Neurospora crassa OR74A: one gene and its partners. The protein of the gene in region 3 binds, or shares a complex with, the protein of the main gene of each other region. Links are inferred from orthologs where the notes say so. Each region holds a gene or a part of one and is shown on either strand. Other genes may lie near its edges.

Region 1 (5,108 bases), on a different chromosome or scaffold from region 3:
AAGCTCGGCCTCGGTGGCATTCTCGTCGAACTTGATCAGCTCGGCCTCGATACCGCACTGTAATTGATATCACATGTCAGTCCGAATCCTGCCTGCCAGTCGTCCGATGTAGGACAGGATATCCCCGAGCTTGTGCGTACCTCCTCAGCAGCCTTCAACTTCATGCGCACATAGGTAGCTGCATGGCAGACAGACGGTCAGTCAGCAAGGGACAATGCGTGGCACAGAAATGTTGCTGTGACGGCGGGGTAGATAAAGTGGTGGACGGTGCAGCAGTCTCAACGTACAGGAATCGGATCGATCACCAACTGCAGTCAACTGGTTAGCCACTGGGTTTCATCTGCAAAAGCACGCAGCACACACACAAGCGCACCTTGGATGATCTTGAGGCAGGGGCGGAAGCGCGGGTTGGTCTTCTTGGTCTCGTCGATGGTAGCGCGGAGACCGTCGCGGATGCGCTTGGCCAGCGCGGTGCCGTCGATCTTGGAGGCCATTGCTGCTTCAGGCTCCCTTGTTGCGGCTCTGGGAGAAGCTAAACTGGAATATGTCCTGATGGAGCTGCGCGGATGGCCAAAAGCAGCAGCGTATCGAGAGACAGGACCCTGAATGTGAGAGAAGCGGGAGGAGGAAGATGGTGCAAAGGGTAAAGTGTCAGGCAGAGGCAGAGTTGAAGATGAGGGGGAGAGCAGCGCATTAGCTCCAAAATCGCTAGCAGCTGCTGCCCCGGCGCATGACGGTGACACCAGAATCGACCCCGTAAGCCCCGTCACTGGAGATAGGCGCCAATAACGGGATTTCTTAGGGCGGCTGCAGGTGGATCGCGGGGCGGCGGAGAAGTCAGTGGTACCAGCTGCAGAGGCGACGAAAGCCGAGGTAGAGCTCCGAGAGTCGGATTCCGTGCCCCACGACAATGTCCATCTTTTGAGCACGTCTTGTCCCGTATGCTCGACTTGAATGCGCCGCCGTGTGTTCAGCGACCCGTGTGCGGACAGGGATGTGAGACAGCTTCCGGCTCGACGCGACTTCCTTGACGTGGAAGACACCCTCTGGATGAAGCTGGAGATGGCCATGCCTACACGACGCAGACTGGTACTGTAGAGCTAGAAGAAGGGTGCAGTGGTCTTTCTGCGTGCGTGCTGTAACAACATCACACTGAACAGCAGCGGACGCAGGCTCGGGGTAAGGGATATTCAGAAGCTCAAGACTTCCGCCCGGCCAAGCTCTCTCGACGCCCCCGGGCACCTCCACGACGGGGTGGGACCAGACGGATTCGGGACCCAGGGGTTTTCTGCGCCGCACAGAAGAGTCACAATGGGTTCCCGCCTAGGTAGACGACGGGGGATCGATGTCGAGGATCCAATGATCGCCGGTTTGCTGGCGGGAATAGAGGTTTCGTGATTTGTGATTTTTTTTTCTTTTTTTTTTCTTTCTTTCCCTTCTCGAGGAGTCACCGAAGGTGAGCGTCTCAAGACGTGCCGCAAATGACCAGTGTAAATGTGACAACAAAACGTGAAGCCAATGAGATAACCTAAATAGAATAGAGCCCAAACCCAAGCTTCTCAAAATAGTACGTATTCACCATGCATTCTTGCAAGAATCCTACCATGTCTCGTTAGAAAAGCCTCTATTTCCGTCTACAAATCTCCGAGAGTTGAAGAACTTTTCCTCCTCGATGCGACCCCCGGAAGAGGGCATTCATATAACTGCAATTGAAGTGGGTGTCTAGATGCTGCATCCATGACTCTACAAGTTCTCGGCTTGCTGCAGGTAGCAGCTCGGATCATGATGTGCTCGCACTGTCCTGTCTGTGTCGTTGTTCTAGATTGAAGTTGGTGTGGCTTGCGGCCGCGGCACAGGCTTGACGAATACAGCTGACTCTTAAACTCTGAGTCACAGACTGAGCCACAACTTCTTATCGGTGGCTGTCGACGGGCCGGCAGGCTGCGAGCGGCGGATCGAGGTGGCAGGCTGCATCGCAAGGTCCAGAGTCCGGTCCGAACTGAAACCAGCAGCTTCAATGGATGGCACACGGCTGGCTGGGACGAGGGACTGGAGAGGGGCAGCTTGGCATCTGCAGGGATAGGTGTTGGTTCGCCCCGCGGCCGTCAGAATCCGCCAGAGCCAGCCAGCCTATCGCGCACAATCTGCGGAAAAATTACTGGGAGTGGAAATCCACCCAAAGAAAGAACACCAAAGACCGATCCGACGACGACGACCGCATCTACAAAGACACTAATCCACCCACCTACCTCCCAAGTCGTGCAACCCCCCCCCGCGATATTTCTCGACGACGAATCCACTCAGTGTCTTCTAACGACCATAACACTTCCATACCGCCGTCCACGCCTCGTCATATTTAATAACCCACAATCAAGATGAGGCCCATTCTTCTTTCGGGCCACGAACGTGCCCTCACCCAGATCAAGTTCGTCTTCCCTCCGCATCATCATCGCATACCTTACCCGCCGACCCGACCCCTCTTGGTGTTCTGGCTTTGGCATGTCGGGCATATAGAGATGCAGCCTCTAACAGCAACCCTTTACCCCCAACAGGTACAACCGCGACGGTGATTTGCTCTTCTCAGTTTCCAAGGACCAGCAGATTTGCGTTTGGTTCGCGCACAACGGCGAGCGTCTCGGTACATACCACGGCCACCAGGGCGCCATCTGGACCATTGATGTCGACCCCACATCCACCATCCTCGCCTCTGGTTCTGCCGACAACACCATCCGCCTTTGGGAGATCAAGACCGGCAGACTTCTTAAGACATGGGACTTCCCTACCGCCGTCAAGCGCGTTGAGTTCAGTGAGGATGGCAGCAAGCTTCTGGGTGTGACGGAGAAGCGCATGGGTCATCTGGGTACCATCGTTGTCCTCGACATCAAGCTCGATGTTGACGCCGAGCAGAGCGATGAGAAGGCCATGACTATCGTTTGCGAGGACAGCAAGGCCACTGTTGCTGGCTGGAGTTATCTCAGCAAGTACATCATTGCCGGCCACGAAGACGGCTCCGTCTCCCAGTTCGACGGCAAGAACGGCGACCTCCTCTACAACATCCCCATCCACGAGCTCAACCAGCCCATCACCGATCTCCAGTGGTCGCACGACCGTACATACTTCATTACCGCCTCCAAGGACAAGACCTCCAAGGTATGTCACATGGCTCCACAACCCCCCCCCCCCCCCTTTTTTTTTTCTTTCTTTGGTCTTCTTCCCGGATCCTTAAAACCGAAATCAATGAACAGTCAATCGCATGCTAACACTCCTTGATTATTTTCACAGCTCATCACAGCTAAGGACCTGGAGGTCCTCAAGACCTACCCCGCCGACACCCCTCTTAACAGCGCTACCATCACTCGCAAGAAGGACTTCGTCATTCTCGGTGGTGGTCAGGCTGCCATGGATGTCACCACCACCTCCGCGCGTCAGGGTAAATTCGAGGCGCGTTTCTACCACAAGATCTTCGAGAGCGAAATTGGTCGTGTGCGCGGTCACTTCGGTCCCCTCAACACGGTTGCCGCCGACCCGACCGGCAAGAGCTACGCCAGCGGTGGTGAGGACGGTTACGTCCGTATCCATCACTTCGACAAGGGTTACTTTGACTTTATGTACGAGGTCGAGAGGGAGAGGCAAAACAAGCTCAACCAGCAACAACAGCAGACCATTTCTGCCTAAACGGATCCCTTCTATCGACATCGATCGAAACTTTCGGACTTTCAGCAAGCAGGATCCGAGGAGGGGCGGCAGAAAGGGGCGGAAAGGCGATTCGCGGGACGAAATATGGGTGTCGTGTTATTGAGTTCAGGATTCTCTCGACTTGTCGGAGGAAGGAAATGAGCAAACGGGTTATTTTACATCGCGCGTCCAGGGATCCAACAATTTGGGGGAAATGGGCATTTCACAAACGGCGTTTTTTTCAGGCAACCTAATCTGAGAATTTGGGCGATTCCACCCAATATTTGGTGAAAAAAAAAGTGAAAAGGAGCAAAAATTGGAGCGATGAGGTGGTGCGGTTCGATGTGAAGCAAACGAACGAACAAGTGAGTCGCGCGGAGAGCGGATATGTAATTTCCATCTTGTCACGAAAGGAACCTTTGGTCCCTATCGAAGCACAGAAGAGTCATTTGTCATAGTTGAATTCGGTCGTTCTTCTGCTTACTATCTTGCGCAACCTCGTTCATGTGATATCAGATTGGACGTTATAAGTAGAGGTCTTTCGCCAATTGCTTACTCACTCCCTTATGGTCAATAAGAATCCAACACAAGTGGAAACAATAATACAGGGGTAAAGGAAGTACAAGACTGCGCACATCATGCCCTATTCATCCATCAGAGAACGGATTTGACCAAAAGGATATCTTTTGTTCCTCAGGTAGGCAGAGAAATCCCTCGCTAAATGACGGCAGGTGAGATAACCATCACCGAGACCGCAACATGAATACGACACAACGGAAACGCCGCGAGCCAACTGCATTAACCCTCCCTGGACTCTTCTCAGTGGTGAACCGAGCCCCTTCACCCAATCTAACCCAGTCATATGAAACGCAACTACAGCTTCGAATACCAAGCCAAGTCAATACATGTGCCGTAGCTTGTATTTTTGGTCTGGACCACCATCAGGCGGTCTACTTCTTCTTTCCCTTGGGGGCAGCCTTGCCCTTTGTCGCCTTCGATTCCGTCGACGCCACGCTTGACGCGCGCGAAGGGGCAGCCGAGGTGGCTTTGCTACCGGACGCTGACTTGACGTTGTCTAGCGCTTTGTTCTGTTACGCGGGTAAATTCAAGTTAGTACGAACATCTCCAAAGTGAGAAAAGCAGGGGATGGTTTACCTTGACACCATTAGCCTTGGTCTTCTTCTTGGCAGGAGCCAGGCCCAAAACACTGTCTTCGTCATTGTCTTCATCATTCGCTTCACGCTTGAGCTTGCCATTGACCCCGTTCACCTTGGCCTTGGTGGTGTTGCTAGGCTCGTCCTCAAACTCTTTGACGATCGTCGTCAGCAGAGTGTTGCAGCGACGGCTGATCTCAATGGGAGTACGGCTAAGGAAGAACCAATCGAAGCGAAAAAGAGGGCTCTCGCGGATCTCATCCCGGATCTTCTCGTAGA
Region 2 (5,228 bases), on a different chromosome or scaffold from region 3:
AGCTGGGATAGCAAGATTCTTCGTCGTAGAGACAAATATCATTCGACCGCTTTTGTAAATCCTTTAGCCGCTCCTTACAACCCGTTTTGGTGATGATACATTGTCTCAACATGTGGTATATTCTTCCATCGTACACGCAATCCTCCTATTTACCCCTCGGTGATCCCACCGCGTAGCCGAGGACTCTCTATATATGTGACCACTCACTCGGTAGTCCTCGTCGCGGGCGACGAAGCATCCAGCACTTCCCGGAATATGCCCCAGCATGCTCTCCAGTCCGTGGCATGGAGCAGCATGGTATCTCTCCCGGTAATAGGTTGGTCCTCGTCGTGTTATGTGGACTTGTGGCTGCAAGCTCTAGAGGTTCATCGGTGTAACATCTTCCTCATTTAAAAGCCCAAGCCGTCCAGGAACTTGACGATTTCCTCTCTGCGGTGTCCCTGTTTATGTTGGTAGTCCGTTAGCACCTGTCCTTTCTGCTGCAGGTTTAACCCTCTTCTTGTTTTCTTATCGCCCTATTCTTTTCTCCCATCTCAACCCGTTGTCCATTGTCCCATGATCTTCGAACCTCTACCTCTTTGCCTCTCTTTCCGAACTTCCAACTCTTTTCCGATTTCTCTTCCATTCATTCCCTCACTCTTGATGTCATACTGCCTCACCCTTCTTGCAAATAGCAGCAAACCGGCAATGCAAAAAAACCAAACAAAAAAAACTTACATCAACCTCCAAATGTCCTGTCGGCACCTTCACCCGCACCTCCTTCACCTCCAGCCCCAAGAACTGCGCAAGATCCCTGCGCAGAGCCTGGCCATCACCTTGCACCTTCTTGATCTGGGTGAGCTTCTTGTTACCACCGCGCTTGGCGAGGTGGTAGACGGGCAGACGCTGGGTCCAGGCGCGGCCTACTAGGTAGGGCTTCGCAACGGGTTTCGTGGATTCTGTTGGCGCGGCACCGGTCTGGGTCTGGATAGGGGTGGTGGGTTGTGTGGTGGGCTGCTGCTGCTGCTGCTGCTGGAGTGGTGTCGTTGTTGTGGCTGTTGTTGTTGGTTGCGATGCGGCGGCAGCGGCGGAGTAGAATCGGGACTGGAAGGCGGCGCGGACGGTGAGGGGCGTCGCGGGCTGGACGATGGCCCGGGAGAGGCCGAAGAAGGTCGAGCGGAACATGGTTGTGGTGTTGTGTTGTGTCGTGTGGTGGTGTGGTGGTGGTGGTAAAGACAGAAAGAGGTCGAATCGATCGAGCTGGGCTCGGTTGGTCGCAACGGGATCTGATAGGTAGGTAGGTAGGTAGGCTTGGCTGGGATCTGGAGTTAGGTCAGACTGGACCTGCGCTGCGGCCAAGAGGTCCCCGTTTCGGATGAGGCGCGTTCAATTGCTGGCTCGCTGGAGTCGGATCGGTCCCGCGTCCCGTGCCCTGGGCCGTGTTCCTCTCGGCGCGGCGGGTCCGTCGTCGGGTTCTGGAAATTTGGTCGGTACTCGGCAGAATTATTGACCGCCCGGGCGTCCCCGCGTAGGTACCCGCGCAGGTGCTCTGCCCCCCGTCCGGCGGGATGTGCGCCGAGCGAGAGGGACGAAAGCCTGAAACTGTGTGCCCAGGGCGTTCGCTGAAGCTCCAGGCCTTGGGGTGCCTGATCTGGGCTCTACACTTACCCCTCCCGTGGTGCCTAGACGGAAGTGGAAGTGGAAGTGGCACCGCATTCAGCTGCCGTGCAATTGTTGTGCGACAGAGGCAGCATTGAACCGAATTCGATGGCCCGTGCTTTTTGTCACTGGTCAGTGGTGTCAAGCGCATTTTCCCAATTTTCGACCCCACCAAAGATTGACGACGGGCCACCACAACTGGACGGGGTCACAAAGAGAAATTTGGCGGATCGCATTTCCAAAGCGCCTGGCAACTGAACGAACGAAGCTGGAGACCGGACACGCCCTTTCCATCCATATTCCTCTTCCTTTCACTTCTGATAGTAGTCGACCGACCCTCCCCCGGCCCTCTATCTTATCCCACCCACCGTAATACCCCCCCTCTCTCCTCTCCAGGCCTCGACTCGACCCGATTCCGACTTGACCTTGTCGTCGTCCACTCAGTGTCGTCTGTCATCACCACCATCCAACATCATCACCACCACCATAGTCACAGACACACAAATCCAAAACATGGCTTCCACATCCCCCGCCACCACCAACGGCGACGTTGCGCCCGCCAACTATGACCTCGTCCTCAAGCTCGCTCCCCATCTCGACCGCCACATGATCTTCCCTCTCCTCGAGTTCAACGCCGGCCGCCTTAAGGAAGATGAGACCGACAAGGCTCGCGAGATCCTCGCCGCCAAGTACGCCCTCCTCAAGAAGACCAACATGACCGACTACGTCGCCAACCTCTACTGCGAGCTCGAGGGTCTTAAGGAGCCCCCCGCCGAGTACGCCGAGCGCCGCCAAAAGGTCTTCCACCAGCTCGAAAAGTACGAGCAGGAGACTGCCAAGATCACCGAGCTGCTGCAGCGCGACGATGTCGTTAACAACCTCCGCTCCGACAAGGTGGCCAACTTGGAGTTCTTGAAGAAGGAGCACGACGTACGTCCTACTTTTTGTTTCCATCGGCACATGTGGCTTGTAGTACATGGCTAACCCCCATATCCTGTGCAGGTCACCATCGACATGGTCAACGCCCTCTACGACTTTGGCCAGCTCCAGTACTCGTGCGGCAACTACGCCGACGCCTCGGAGCTCCTCTACCGCTTCCGCGTCCTCTCCACCGACAACGACAAGGTCTCGTACGCCACATGGGGTCGTCTCGCCTGCGAGATCCTCACCATGAACTGGGAGTCCGCCATGGAGGAGCTGCAAAAGGTGCGCGAGAGCATCGACACCAGGCTCGCTAACAACCCCCTTGCTCAGCTGCAGCACCGCACCGAGCTCGTCCACTGGGCCCTCTTCCCCCTCTTCAACTACGACAAGGCCCGTGAGCCCCTCCTCGACCTCTTCTTCAACGCCGGCTTCATCAACACCATCCAGGCCAACTCGCCCTGGATCCTCCGCTATCTCACCGTCGCCGTCATCACCAACCGCGGCCGCGCTAAGAACGCCGGTGTCCACCAGAAGCAGATGAAGGACGTTGTTCGCATCGTCAAGCAGGAGGCCTACGAGTACCAGGACCCCATCACCCGCTTCGTCCACGCCTTGTGCATCGACTTTGACTTTGAGGAGGCTCAGCAACAGCTCGTGCTTGCCGAGGAGGTCCTCAGGAGCGACTTCTTCTTGCTCGCCCACGCCGATGACTTTGTCGACTCGGCCCGCCACCTCATCTTCGAGAGCTACTGCAAGATCCACGCCCGCATTTCGCTCAAGGACCTCAGCGCCCGCCTCGGTCTTAATAACGACGACGCCGAGAAGTGGATTGTCAACCTCATTCGCGACACCCGCCTCGACGCCAAGATCGACTACAAGGAGGGTACCGTTGTCATGAACCACCCCCCGAGCTCCGTGTATCAGCAGGTCATTGAGCGCACCAAGGGCGGTTTCTTCAGGACGCAGGTTTTGACTGCTGCTGTTGCCAGATAGGCGTGTGACAATAGCGGCAGTGGAGAACTGACTGATGGTGGCGGCAGAAGTATACCCGGGTCGACATGTCAGGAAAGCAAGGGCGATAAGAGGATTGTGAAGGAATGATTATGGCATGGGCTCGATCGCAACGCATGAAAGCGGCGACTGATTTCTCGTCGAATGTGAGACCAAGATTATCGCCGACGATTGGAACGCGGCGAGCATCAAGTGGCCAGGCGAACTCAGTCGCTTCATGGCAGGCGAACTGCTTCAGCGTATGGGCTTCAACTTGACCAGGACGAGTCTCGGATAGATCCCCTCCCAGCATCTTTTATGCCATTGCAATGAGAGGATTTGAAAGTGCGAATCCAAAAAGGGTTAGCGATGCATTTCGAAGAATAGACCTTTTTTTTCTTCTTTCGTTCTCATCTGCCTCGATAGTCTTCTCTATCTCTCAGCGTTTGGCAATTGTCGCTATTTGTCGTGTGGGCATGGGCTCGGGCGGTAGAGGCAGCAAGGGAATTAGGACAATGGAAGGAGGCCTTTTACGTCATGACAACAACCGGTGTAATCATACCTCTTTAGTGTGTGTGTTTTTTCTTTTTACAGGCTTCTCATCAGGCGTATCAAAATGGTTATGGCTCATTGCTTTTAGCTGGCTTATGAGTCAGGTTGCCTTTCCCATCAGTAACATTGTTCATCGCATCATGGTAACCTCCACTTGGTCCCTTCTTTATAGCAACTGAGCTGGGGTGATCAACCAGGAAAAACTGTGGCAACCAATTATTGAGGTATGCTCCTTCCCTTCCTCCATATCTGCGTGGTATCGTCCATCTCCCGCCTCTTCCCTTTTCACTCTTCTACCAGGGGCATTCTTATTTTCGTCCTTTCCAGCCTCCAATCAACATACAATATCCAAGCCACCAAGTTGGGCAGTTGTATTTGTCGCAGAACGACCAATGGCTGCCCGATACAGTTTCCAGCTAGGTAGGTTCATACGGCACAGGCTGACAGGCTGCAGCTGTATTGATATGGCGTTACCCCCGCTTCGAGTCCTTGTCTCCTTGAATTTTCAGTATGCCCGTCCTCGTTCATGAAAGATTTTGTGGAATCCCGTCATAACATCAGGCCTCTTCTATCTGAGATACGTAACCTGTCTTCAGGTTCAGTTCTTCCGCAGTCAGCAACGATGGTCAGAGCGCAGGGTATTTCGTTGCTCTTTGAACCGAATGATGTCGAGCCCGAGCTTGAGTGAGTCCGCCACTCCTATCTCATCCATTCAATGACTGTAGTTCGGGGCACACTGTTCAACGCGGCTTGCAGCATTATTTTCATCCATGGCTTCACAGGTCATCCACGCTTGACTTGGACGATTGATCAAAAAAAGGCTGAGAGAAGAAGAAAGGCAAATAGCGATGCCCCGAGCCACAATGTTCACAAAAGTGCGCAAACAGCAGACGTTTACTGGCCAAAGGACCTGGTTCCAGTAACGCTACCATCTGCCAGGGTCATGACTTTTGGCTACGATTCCAAGATACGACATTTCTCTCAAGGCCAGATCAGCAAAAACACAGTTCAAGACCATGCTCGGGAACTCTTGGAGCAATTGAGGGATAAGAGGCCGCCAGATGCAAAAGGATCTCGCCCGCTAGCCTTCATCGCACACAGCTTAGGTGGGCTAGTTGTCAGAG
Region 3 (5,120 bases):
TCTTCTGCTTGGGTTCGGGGCTGTCGCCGGTGCGCTGGGAGGAGAGGCGCTCGGAGCGACGGGGTTTCTTGAAGGAATCGTTGTCGTCGGTAGAACCCTGAAGTAAAGCGCATATTAGTCGACGGAGCATGCTTGGTGGTGACGCAATGCGCCATGGACTACCTAATCAAAAGCTCGAGGTATAATGTAGTCATGACATAGCATGACATGACATATGGGATGGGGGAGTGGATGGACGTACGCGAGCTCTCTTAAGAGTGCTGCTGCCTTCAGCTCGGGGAGCCATGGCTGCTGGGATTGTAGGGCAACGAGTCGAGTGGTGTGTTGGTCAGTCAATGCCGGAGCTGAGGATTCGATTCAAAAGAGAGGATCTCAAATGATCAAGTGGCGGGATGGTGTGTTCCAGGAAGGTTGTATGTAGAGTAGAGTGGAAAAAGATGGGGTGGTGGTGGTGGTGGTGGTGACGGCGCCGGGCTGGGGAGAATGACTGACTGAGTGAACTGAATGATGCTACTGTGCAGTTCGCGAGGGACTGGGATAGGCCGCGGGCAGTGCTAAGGTATTGGGGGGGGGGGGGGCCTCCACCAGAAAGCAACCATACAACGTCAGGGACTCACAGTGTACATTACCTTACAACCTAGGCCTTGATGACCGCGCCCCAAGTGGAAGCTTCCCTTTTCCTCACTTTCTTCCACTTTTTCGCTTGGAAATCACGCCGCGCCTCGCCATAACTCCACTCTTTTGGCGCGTCTAAGTCAACAAATCCACAGAAAGGGAAACAGCATCCAGTTGACAACATTGATTTTATTCAGTGCTCTATGAAATATCCACGTGTATATACAATCTGAGTTATACCCCCACGGGGCTTTGTTTACTGTTGCTGTCTCTGTACGCTAGGTACACTTGTTGACTTTCTTTCGGCGGTGCACACCCTCAGCCCTGGTTGAATGTCACCATGTGCATTGCATACATAGTAGCGTAGGGCTGGTTGGTCATCACTCTTTTTCTCGGGAATCTATTGTGGGTTCATTGTGACTCTTCACCATCCTTCTGGGCTGTCAGGCGTGCCGGTCATTTGTTATTTTGAGACTCCCATCACGTCAGTGGAAAAGGGAAGGAGCTGATACAATATCCTCAGGCTGTAATGGAAGGTGGCCGTTGCCCGGGTCACCACCACACTTTTAAGTGTCTGCCTGGATATCCGATTCGGATGCCCCGTGACCCCCTCTTTGCTTCCCGCTTCTGTTTGTGTTTTAGGTGACCTAGCTTACAAAGGTGACTGTTGCAACTGGCTAGAGTCCCATTTTTGTCCTGATGGATACGATGGTGAAAAGTCGAAAAGAAAATATTCGATGATGTAGCGAGTTCAATAGTTTTGTTTTGATGCAGCCGAATACTCCAATCAAGGTGTGTCGTCATTCCCGTGGTTGATATCTCCACAGCCCACGGCAAGTAACTGCGAACCTCGATCGAGTGCATCACATCATATAGGAAATCATATTGTTCGAGTGGTCAGAAATCTCGACTTGGATAATGGATTTGTCAAGTTCGAATCCTTCGATTATTCATCAGGTGCGTTTGTTGATATCCATGTAAGAGAATCATGGATGGGAATGTGACTTTAAGAAGATCGGATTTGGAGAAGCTGGGGACAATGTCAAGCGCACGGTGACAAGCAAAGGAAAAGGGACTGAAGCCCGGGAGCTTGACATTGTCAAAGACCTCGCTGGGACGGACCACCCCATGGGTCAGGGTTTTCTATGTCACAAGCAGATGACTGCAATAACCCTGACCATCGACACAGCTCCTGCACGTGACTGGCTGGAGCACACAGAACAGCTCTTCTTCAGCACAGGGCAAAAATAGGCGGTGGGCTTGGCATTGGAATGCGGGGCATTTTTTTGCTTTGAGAAATTGGGTCGAGGGTCCGGTCAGGTCTCTGTCGTCCATGGGATGAGAGAGGGACACCACACCACTCAGCGAGTCGAGGCCCAGGAACTGTGCAAAGAAAAAGAAAGAGCGGAGCCCTGCCACTAAGAAAACTTCCTTTGGGGCCCGCCCCTCCCTCCCACGTCTGACAGGATATCCGTATCGTTTCCGGCCAGTGTCGACCTTTAGCACCAGGACATACTATCAGATTGTCCCCGGCCATATTTTCCCCGTCGCCGTGTCCCCCGTCCGTCCCTGACTCCGTCCCGCCGTGTGTCTCGCCTCAACCCGACCTCACTCCAGCCTTGAGGTCCAAGTGGGAATAGTTCGATAGCCCCGTCGTCAAACAACCACACACGCACACACACACACACCGTCAACACCCATCAACATGGCTACCCCCCAGTTGATCTTCGTCGACGGCACCTTCGCCGAGCTGGCGCAGGAGATGGCCGACTTCGTCCAGGTCGGCGAGCAGGTCCAGCCTCTCCTCGAGCAGGACAAGCGCGAGGATGCCCTTGACCTCATCGTCAAGGCCTCCCACTCCCTCAACGCCGCCCCCGAGAAGGACTTCACCCCCGCCTACAACCTCCTCATCCACCTCGTCCTCCAGTCCGAGGAGCCCAAGAAGTACCTGCCCACCCTGTGCGCCAACCTTCTCAAGCCCATCACCTCGTCTCCCACCCACGGCTTCACCCTGGCCTCCAATGCGCTCACCACCATCTTCAACCTCCTCGACAAGTCCAACCCGCTGCGCTTCAATGTCTTTATGCAGATCGTCCGCTTCATCAGGCAAAACAGCCAGTTCGACCTCCTCAAGCCCAGGTTAAAGAACGTCGAGGGCTGGCTCCAGGAATGGAAGTCCGACTCGGAGAGCCAGCGCAAGCTCTACGTCGAGGTTTCCGATGCCGCCAACGACGGCGGTGATCAGGAGTGAGTATTTTACCTTTTATAGCATCATGCATTGTGCACCTTTACGGCTTCATGCTAACCTTTGGTCTGCAGGGAGTCCTACTTCTACCTCCTCAAGGCTCTGGCCACTTTCGACCGCGACAACCAGGACGAGGTCGCCTCCGACGAGGCCCAGAAGCTCTCCCTCCGCGCCCTCCGCATGGCCATCTCGTCGCCCACCCGCTTCGACTTCAACGACCTGCGCTCGCTCCCCTCGGTCCACGCCCTGAGCGACTCGCACCCCGTCTACTCGCAGCTCCTCGACATCTTCACCGAGCAGGACCTCGAGGACTACAACGACTTTAGGGACGAGCACCAGGGATGGATCGAGAACGAGAAGCTCGACCACGAGAAGCTGCAGCGCAAGATGCGCCTGCTCACCTTTGCGTCGCTCGCCGCCAGCACCCCGAACCGCGAGATCCCCTACGCCAGCATCGCCAAGGCCCTCCAAATCCCCGACGAGGACGTCGAGATGTGGACCATTGACGTGATCCGCTCCAAGCTGGTCGAGGGCCGCCTGTCACAGAAGCAAAAGGTGTTCTTGGTTCACCGCACCACCTACCGCGTCTTTGGCGAGAAGCAGTGGCGCGAGCTCGGCACCCGCGTCGACCAGTTCAAGACGGTCGTCGATAGGCTCGTCGGCGTCGTGCGCAAGGCCCAGACCGATGTCGAGGCCCAGCGTGAGCGTGAGCAGCAGGAGCTCGAGCGCAAGCTGGCCAACGCCGGTCTTGGCGAGTCGGAGCAGCGCGGCGGCAACCGGGGAGGACGTACCGGCGGTGCCAGACAGACGAGGCAACGCACGGATGATGATGACTGAAGGGGGGTTGCCAACAGGATGTTTTGCTGCAATAATTGGTTGTTGTTGTTAGTAGCATAGAGATATGGGGGGACCTTTCAAAAAGAAAAAAGAGCGATGTCTTGCCCCTGTATCATCCCGCTCGGTCATCAGTTCAGTTCAGTTCATTCGAATGGGAAAGGAATTCTACATCAAAACGGGTTGTTGTTGTTATCTATCAAGGAGTTGTGAGCCCCAAAAAAATACGGAACACTATTTTCAAGGTAGAGCTGCTACACTTTTTGGCGGATTTGCATTTTTGTTGTTGTTGTATCATTCCGAGGAATGGCAGCTTTAGATATCCAGCAATCATCAGGTTTTCTCTCTCCATTTATACATCAGTGATGGATGATATGATGCGTGAGGGCAAATCCAGAAAGGTGGAGTATAGATCATGATACCCAGGATATACAAGGCAACGGAAGCGTAATATCAATGCTTTTTGAGACAAGGTCTATGACCACCAGCAGCAAAGGGAACAATGAATCATCATGCTCAGGCTTCCCAACGATGAATAGTATAAACGCAATACCAAGCCATCTCGACATCTGGAAAAAGACAGAGCAAGTTCAATTTCCAAACGGGAGAAAACCATCCCCATCCATCCACGAACCGCCTCCGCGACTCCATCGCTCCGTCCCTTTCCAATAAATCTGTAGTAGTGTATAGTATTTTAAAAGTTTTTATCTAATGGAACGGCCAACCCCATCTCAGAATTAGTACCTAGAAACCAAGTTTACCTCAACCCCCCATCCCATCCCCGGAGTAAGACAAGTCAAGTCAATCCCCCCCCCCCCCCTACACTAACTAAAACTTATCCCCAAACACCCTCCTCAGCTGCTTTCTCGTCTCCTCATACACCTTCTCCGGCCCCGGCGTCGAATCCACCTTGACCACCTTTCCTTCCCTCTCATAGTGATCCACAACCGGCATGCTCGTCTCCACAAACGTCCTGAACCGCTTCCTGATACTCTCGGCATTATCATCTTCACGCCCGCTCGTCTTGCCTCTTTCCAGCAGTCTCTTCTCCATTTCTTGTTCCGGGCAATCATAGAACAACACCATTTTCGCAGGGCAAACGACCTCTTCGAACTTGACAGCTTGGTCCATCTTGCGCGGGAAGCCATCAATCAGGAACCTGCCTGTCTTGGTTTTGCCAGAGACCAGAGTGTCGCGCATGGCGTTCTCGAGAAGGGCCACGGTGACTTCCATGGGGACGATGGCGCCGTTCTTGATGCAGTCCCGGATAAGCTGGCCGTATTGGGAACCCGGGCGGTCTTGTTCGGCGCGGAGTAGGTCGCCGGCCGAGAGGTGGGTGAAGCCGTAGTCGCGCACGAGACGGGCGCATTGGGTGCCTTTGCCGGCGCCGGGGCCGCCGAGGACGAAGATGACGGTTACGTCGGAG
Region 4 (3,212 bases), on a different chromosome or scaffold from region 3:
TCAAGCTCCAGCAACTCGAACGTGAGAAGAACAGCGTCGCCGAGAAGCTCCGGATCACCGGCAAGCGTCTTGATCATCTTGAGCGTGCCTTCAGAAAGGAGGAGGCTAAGAAGCTCCCCGAAGACTACGCCAAGCAGCGCGAGCGCGATCTCGCTGCCTACGAGCGTACCAAGGCACAGACTCTCAAGGAGGCTGAGCTTAAGCACAAGGCTGATGTTGAGCTTAAGCACCGTCTCACTCGCCTCATGCCCTTCTACGAGTCCTTTAGGTCTGACCTGCACGAGCGTCGCCGTGATGAGTTCGAGAAGCGCCGTCGTGATGCCGAGCGTGAGATGGAGAAGCAGATCAACGCCCGCCGCAAGGAGGCCCGCGAGAAGAGGATCCGCGAGAAGCGCGAGCGTGAGGAGCGTGAGCGTCAGCTCCGCGAGGCCGAGGAGCGCGCCGCCAGGGAGAAGGAGGAAGAGAGGAAGCGTCTGGAGGCTCGCCGGGAGGAGCTCCAGCGTCTCAAGGAGGAGAAGGAGAAGGAGCGTGAGAAGTTGCGCGAGATTGCTGCTCGCCAGCAACAGCGCGAGGAGGAGGCCATGGCCAGGCGCAAGGCCGAGAAGGAGAAGCTTGCCGCGACCCCTTCTGCTTACAGACCCCCCGCGGCTGCGGAGCGTACCGAGGCTGCTGCTCCTCCCCGCATTGCCCTCGCTGGCAACCGCCCCAGCTGGAGAGAGCGCGAGGCCGCCAAGGCCGCCTCTGGAGAGACCGCCGCTCCCGCACCTGCTGCCGCCGAGCCCGTTGCCGAAAGACCCCGTGCCGCTGCCCCCCCTGCGGAGAGGACAGAAGCTGCTGCTCCTCCCCGCCTGGCCCTTGCCGGCAACCGCCCCAGCTGGCGTGAGAGAGAGGCTGCCAAGGCCGCCTCCGGAGGTGGTAATGCTGCGGCCGTCCCTGAGAGGAGCGCTCCTCCTCTCAGGGCTGCCGCCCCTCAGAGAGCTGGATCCGGTCGTCCTGAGAATGACAGGGACGTCCCTCCTGCGGAGCCCTTGAAGGCGAGCGGTGCTCCCGGCAAGTACGTTCCCAAGTGGAGACGTGAGGGTGCTTAAGAGTCTATCTCTTTGCACTTGTTCTCATGGGAGTTAAGGGTTGTTCGCGCTCCCTTTTTTACGAGGTTCATGTAAACTAGCATCACGTAATATGGGGAGCACCTCTTGCAGTATAGACTGGACTAAAAGTGGTTGTGCGTTTTTCTTCACGTTTATCATTCATTCATTCAAATGGTCCCAGTCCTCCCAGACGTTGATGGTTAATGGTCATGACAAGTCCCAAAAGCTGTTTACAACTTCTTCATGCGGCGACCGCTTTTACGGTACTTGATCAATCTCTTTATGTTCCGTGTAACGTCTTATAGCGTACCTTTGTAATTCAGCGACAATTTGACCAAAGATCCGAGGGCTTGGTTTCGGGGTAATTCGAAATTACGTTGCAATATTAAAGGACGAGTTACTCTCCGTCCACCGTCGCAGCTCCACTGATCAAGATGAGGACGGGGCAGCGATCGACCCCAAAACCCCGTCGCTTGGGAACACCCCGGTCGACGATCACTGCTTTCACCACGGTGACAAAGACACAAAAGTCTTCAACAAAGCTTTTCGTTTTACTTTTCCCAATTTCAAGAAAAACTGTTCCATCGGCTCTGTTTCACACTCCCCGGTACTACACTACCTGACGTGCTAACCTACCCCCTGAGTTTGTCGCATCAGCCTCCTTCCAAACATCCCGCCATCGCACCGTGTTTTCCGGCTGTCGCGTCATCATCCGTCGTTGTCGCACCTCGCCGTTGTCAATATTGCACTTTTGATATTGCTCAGGGGGTTTCTTTGACGTTTCGCAATGCCTGCTACGACGGTGACCGGGAGAACTGAAAGGGAGAGCCGGGGAAGTGAATTTGGGACATAGGACATGCATGGCTGGACATGTCGATAGGTAGGTATTTGTGTATATATACTATATATTACGTGTCGTGAGGAACTCCATATTACCAAATTTTCTCGCGCTTGCTGTGCCATTCTGAGAGGTTTGTCATCACCCTCGTATGCAGTGAGGCACCCTACAACACGAGGTTGTGGCTGATAAACCTTTCCGACGTTTGTTTTCTAGCGCGAACTACCTTGTTGACGGCCTTGTTATGGGCCAAACTTGTGACTGATCAAATTCGGGCAAGCAATATCTGGATTGGGATTGTCTAATGTCTGCTTTGGGACAAATGGTTACCGTTGTGGAAATTCGAAGGAATCTTCATGTGCCACAAATGACCACAAAAAACAAAACACAAGAAAAAAAGAAGATATTTGGACATGGGTGATTATGAAGGAAAGAGTCGCCAGACTTACTTGGGTCTTTACTGCATAGGTACAGGGTTTCAGATTGACATTTGACATCGAGACATGGTGGGATATCTGGTCTTATTGTTTGGGTTCTATGCTTTTTCTTCGATCTTTCCCGAGAGAAGTGTGAAGAGAGGCGCAATACTATTTAATGTATGTCTCAACATCAGTACACCTCCCGCTCTCGTGACAATAACTTGGGTTTTTATGATATAACCAGTAGTAGTAATTCTTCCGGAATTACGAGGCATCCGCGAAGGAACGCATAGCCTCGTCACGGTACTCGAATTTTTCCACTCCAGATCGATGCATCCTTCTTCGAGGGCAAACCGCGTCATGTACGAGAGGATTCTGCAGCCCAGCGGGTGATGATGGGCACAGCCTTATTTTCCATGTAGTCTGCTCTTGGTCCCTTGGCCCCATCGAACAGTTGCAGATGTTCAGATTGGGTAATTTGTGTAGTTGTCAGGCTGCTGAAGCAGACCTCAAAACCATCGTAATTACCGTGCTGTAGTTCTCGCTCTCGGGAGAGGTAAACATGTAATGGTAGTCTGGGCATATAGATGTCTCCAAGCTTGAAGCCGTGATATGGTGAGATCAGGACATCGTTAATGGTATATGGTTGGCTTCTTACTCCTTTATTCCAATGGTCATTGCGTAGTACTTCTTAAAGGTTGTAGCCGTTGATGGCCCCTGGATTAAATTAACAGCTGCAACTCAATATCCATACAGAAATAAAGATGAGAATGCGAAGTTGAAGATGGCAATTAAGGAAGTTGAAAAGTAAGAATCGCGTAACGCCGTGAGACTGATATCATCTAGCCTCAAAGGCGTTGAAGGAGA

What was found.
Region 1: NCU02813 (region 3) and NCU03876 share a complex: the UniProt entries of both Schizosaccharomyces pombe proteins name them as parts of the eukaryotic translation initiation factor 3 (eIF-3) complex. The link is inferred for Neurospora crassa OR74A from reciprocal best matches to the Schizosaccharomyces pombe genes tif313 and sum1.
Region 2: NCU02813 (region 3) and NCU05889 share a complex: the UniProt entries of both Schizosaccharomyces pombe proteins name them as parts of the eukaryotic translation initiation factor 3 (eIF-3) complex. The link is inferred for Neurospora crassa OR74A from reciprocal best matches to the Schizosaccharomyces pombe genes tif313 and int6.
Region 4: NCU02813 (region 3) and NCU00040 share a complex: the UniProt entries of both Schizosaccharomyces pombe proteins name them as parts of the eukaryotic translation initiation factor 3 (eIF-3) complex. The link is inferred for Neurospora crassa OR74A from reciprocal best matches to the Schizosaccharomyces pombe genes tif313 and tif301.

Annotation. Positions count from the first base shown.
Region 1 is NC_026506.1:1,994,586-1,999,693, reverse strand, and holds NCU03876 (eukaryotic translation initiation factor 3 subunit 2), read left to right. Parts: upstream 1-2,113; 5' UTR 2,114-2,375; coding exon 2,376-2,425; intron 2,426-2,552; coding exon 2,553-3,150; intron 3,151-3,282; coding exon 3,283-3,675; 3' UTR 3,676-4,158; downstream 4,159-5,108. Other genes in the region: NCU03877 (C-1-tetrahydrofolate synthase), read right to left, coding at 1-57, 141-178, 288-308, 374-1,070; crf4-1 (chromatin remodelling complex ATPase chain ISW1), read right to left, coding at 4,626-4,763, 4,831-5,108. UniProt on the Schizosaccharomyces pombe protein: Component of the eukaryotic translation initiation factor 3 (eIF-3) complex, which is involved in protein synthesis of a specialized repertoire of mRNAs and, together with other initiation factors, stimulates binding of mRNA and methionyl-tRNAi to the 40S ribosome.
Region 2 is NC_026507.1:4,173,611-4,178,838, reverse strand, and holds NCU05889 (eukaryotic translation initiation factor 3 subunit 6), read left to right. Parts: upstream 1-1,810; 5' UTR 1,811-2,151; coding exon 2,152-2,568; intron 2,569-2,640; coding exon 2,641-3,555; 3' UTR 3,556-4,328; downstream 4,329-5,228. Other genes in the region: NCU05890 (hypothetical protein), read right to left, coding at 390-440, 718-1,164; NCU11305 (hypothetical protein), read left to right, coding at 4,727-4,788, 5,044-5,228. UniProt on the Schizosaccharomyces pombe protein: Component of the eukaryotic translation initiation factor 3 (eIF-3) complex, which is involved in protein synthesis of a specialized repertoire of mRNAs and, together with other initiation factors, stimulates binding of mRNA and methionyl-tRNAi to the 40S ribosome.
Region 3 is NC_026501.1:9,033,819-9,038,938, forward strand, and holds NCU02813 (eukaryotic translation initiation factor 3 subunit M), read left to right. Parts: upstream 1-1,864; 5' UTR 1,865-2,320; coding exon 2,321-2,862; intron 2,863-2,934; coding exon 2,935-3,697; 3' UTR 3,698-4,152; downstream 4,153-5,120. Other genes in the region: prd-4 (serine/threonine-protein kinase chk2), read right to left, coding at 1-97, 242-286; NCU02812 (uridylate kinase), read right to left, coding at 4,523-5,120. UniProt on the Schizosaccharomyces pombe protein: Component of the eukaryotic translation initiation factor 3 (eIF-3) complex, which is involved in protein synthesis of a specialized repertoire of mRNAs and, together with other initiation factors, stimulates binding of mRNA and methionyl-tRNAi to the 40S ribosome.
Region 4 is NC_026503.1:2,371,986-2,375,197, reverse strand, and holds the end of NCU00040 (eukaryotic translation initiation factor 3 110 kDa subunit), read left to right. Parts: coding exon 1-1,088; 3' UTR 1,089-1,557; downstream 1,558-3,212. UniProt on the Schizosaccharomyces pombe protein: RNA-binding component of the eukaryotic translation initiation factor 3 (eIF-3) complex, which is involved in protein synthesis of a specialized repertoire of mRNAs and, together with other initiation factors, stimulates binding of mRNA and methionyl-tRNAi to the 40S ribosome.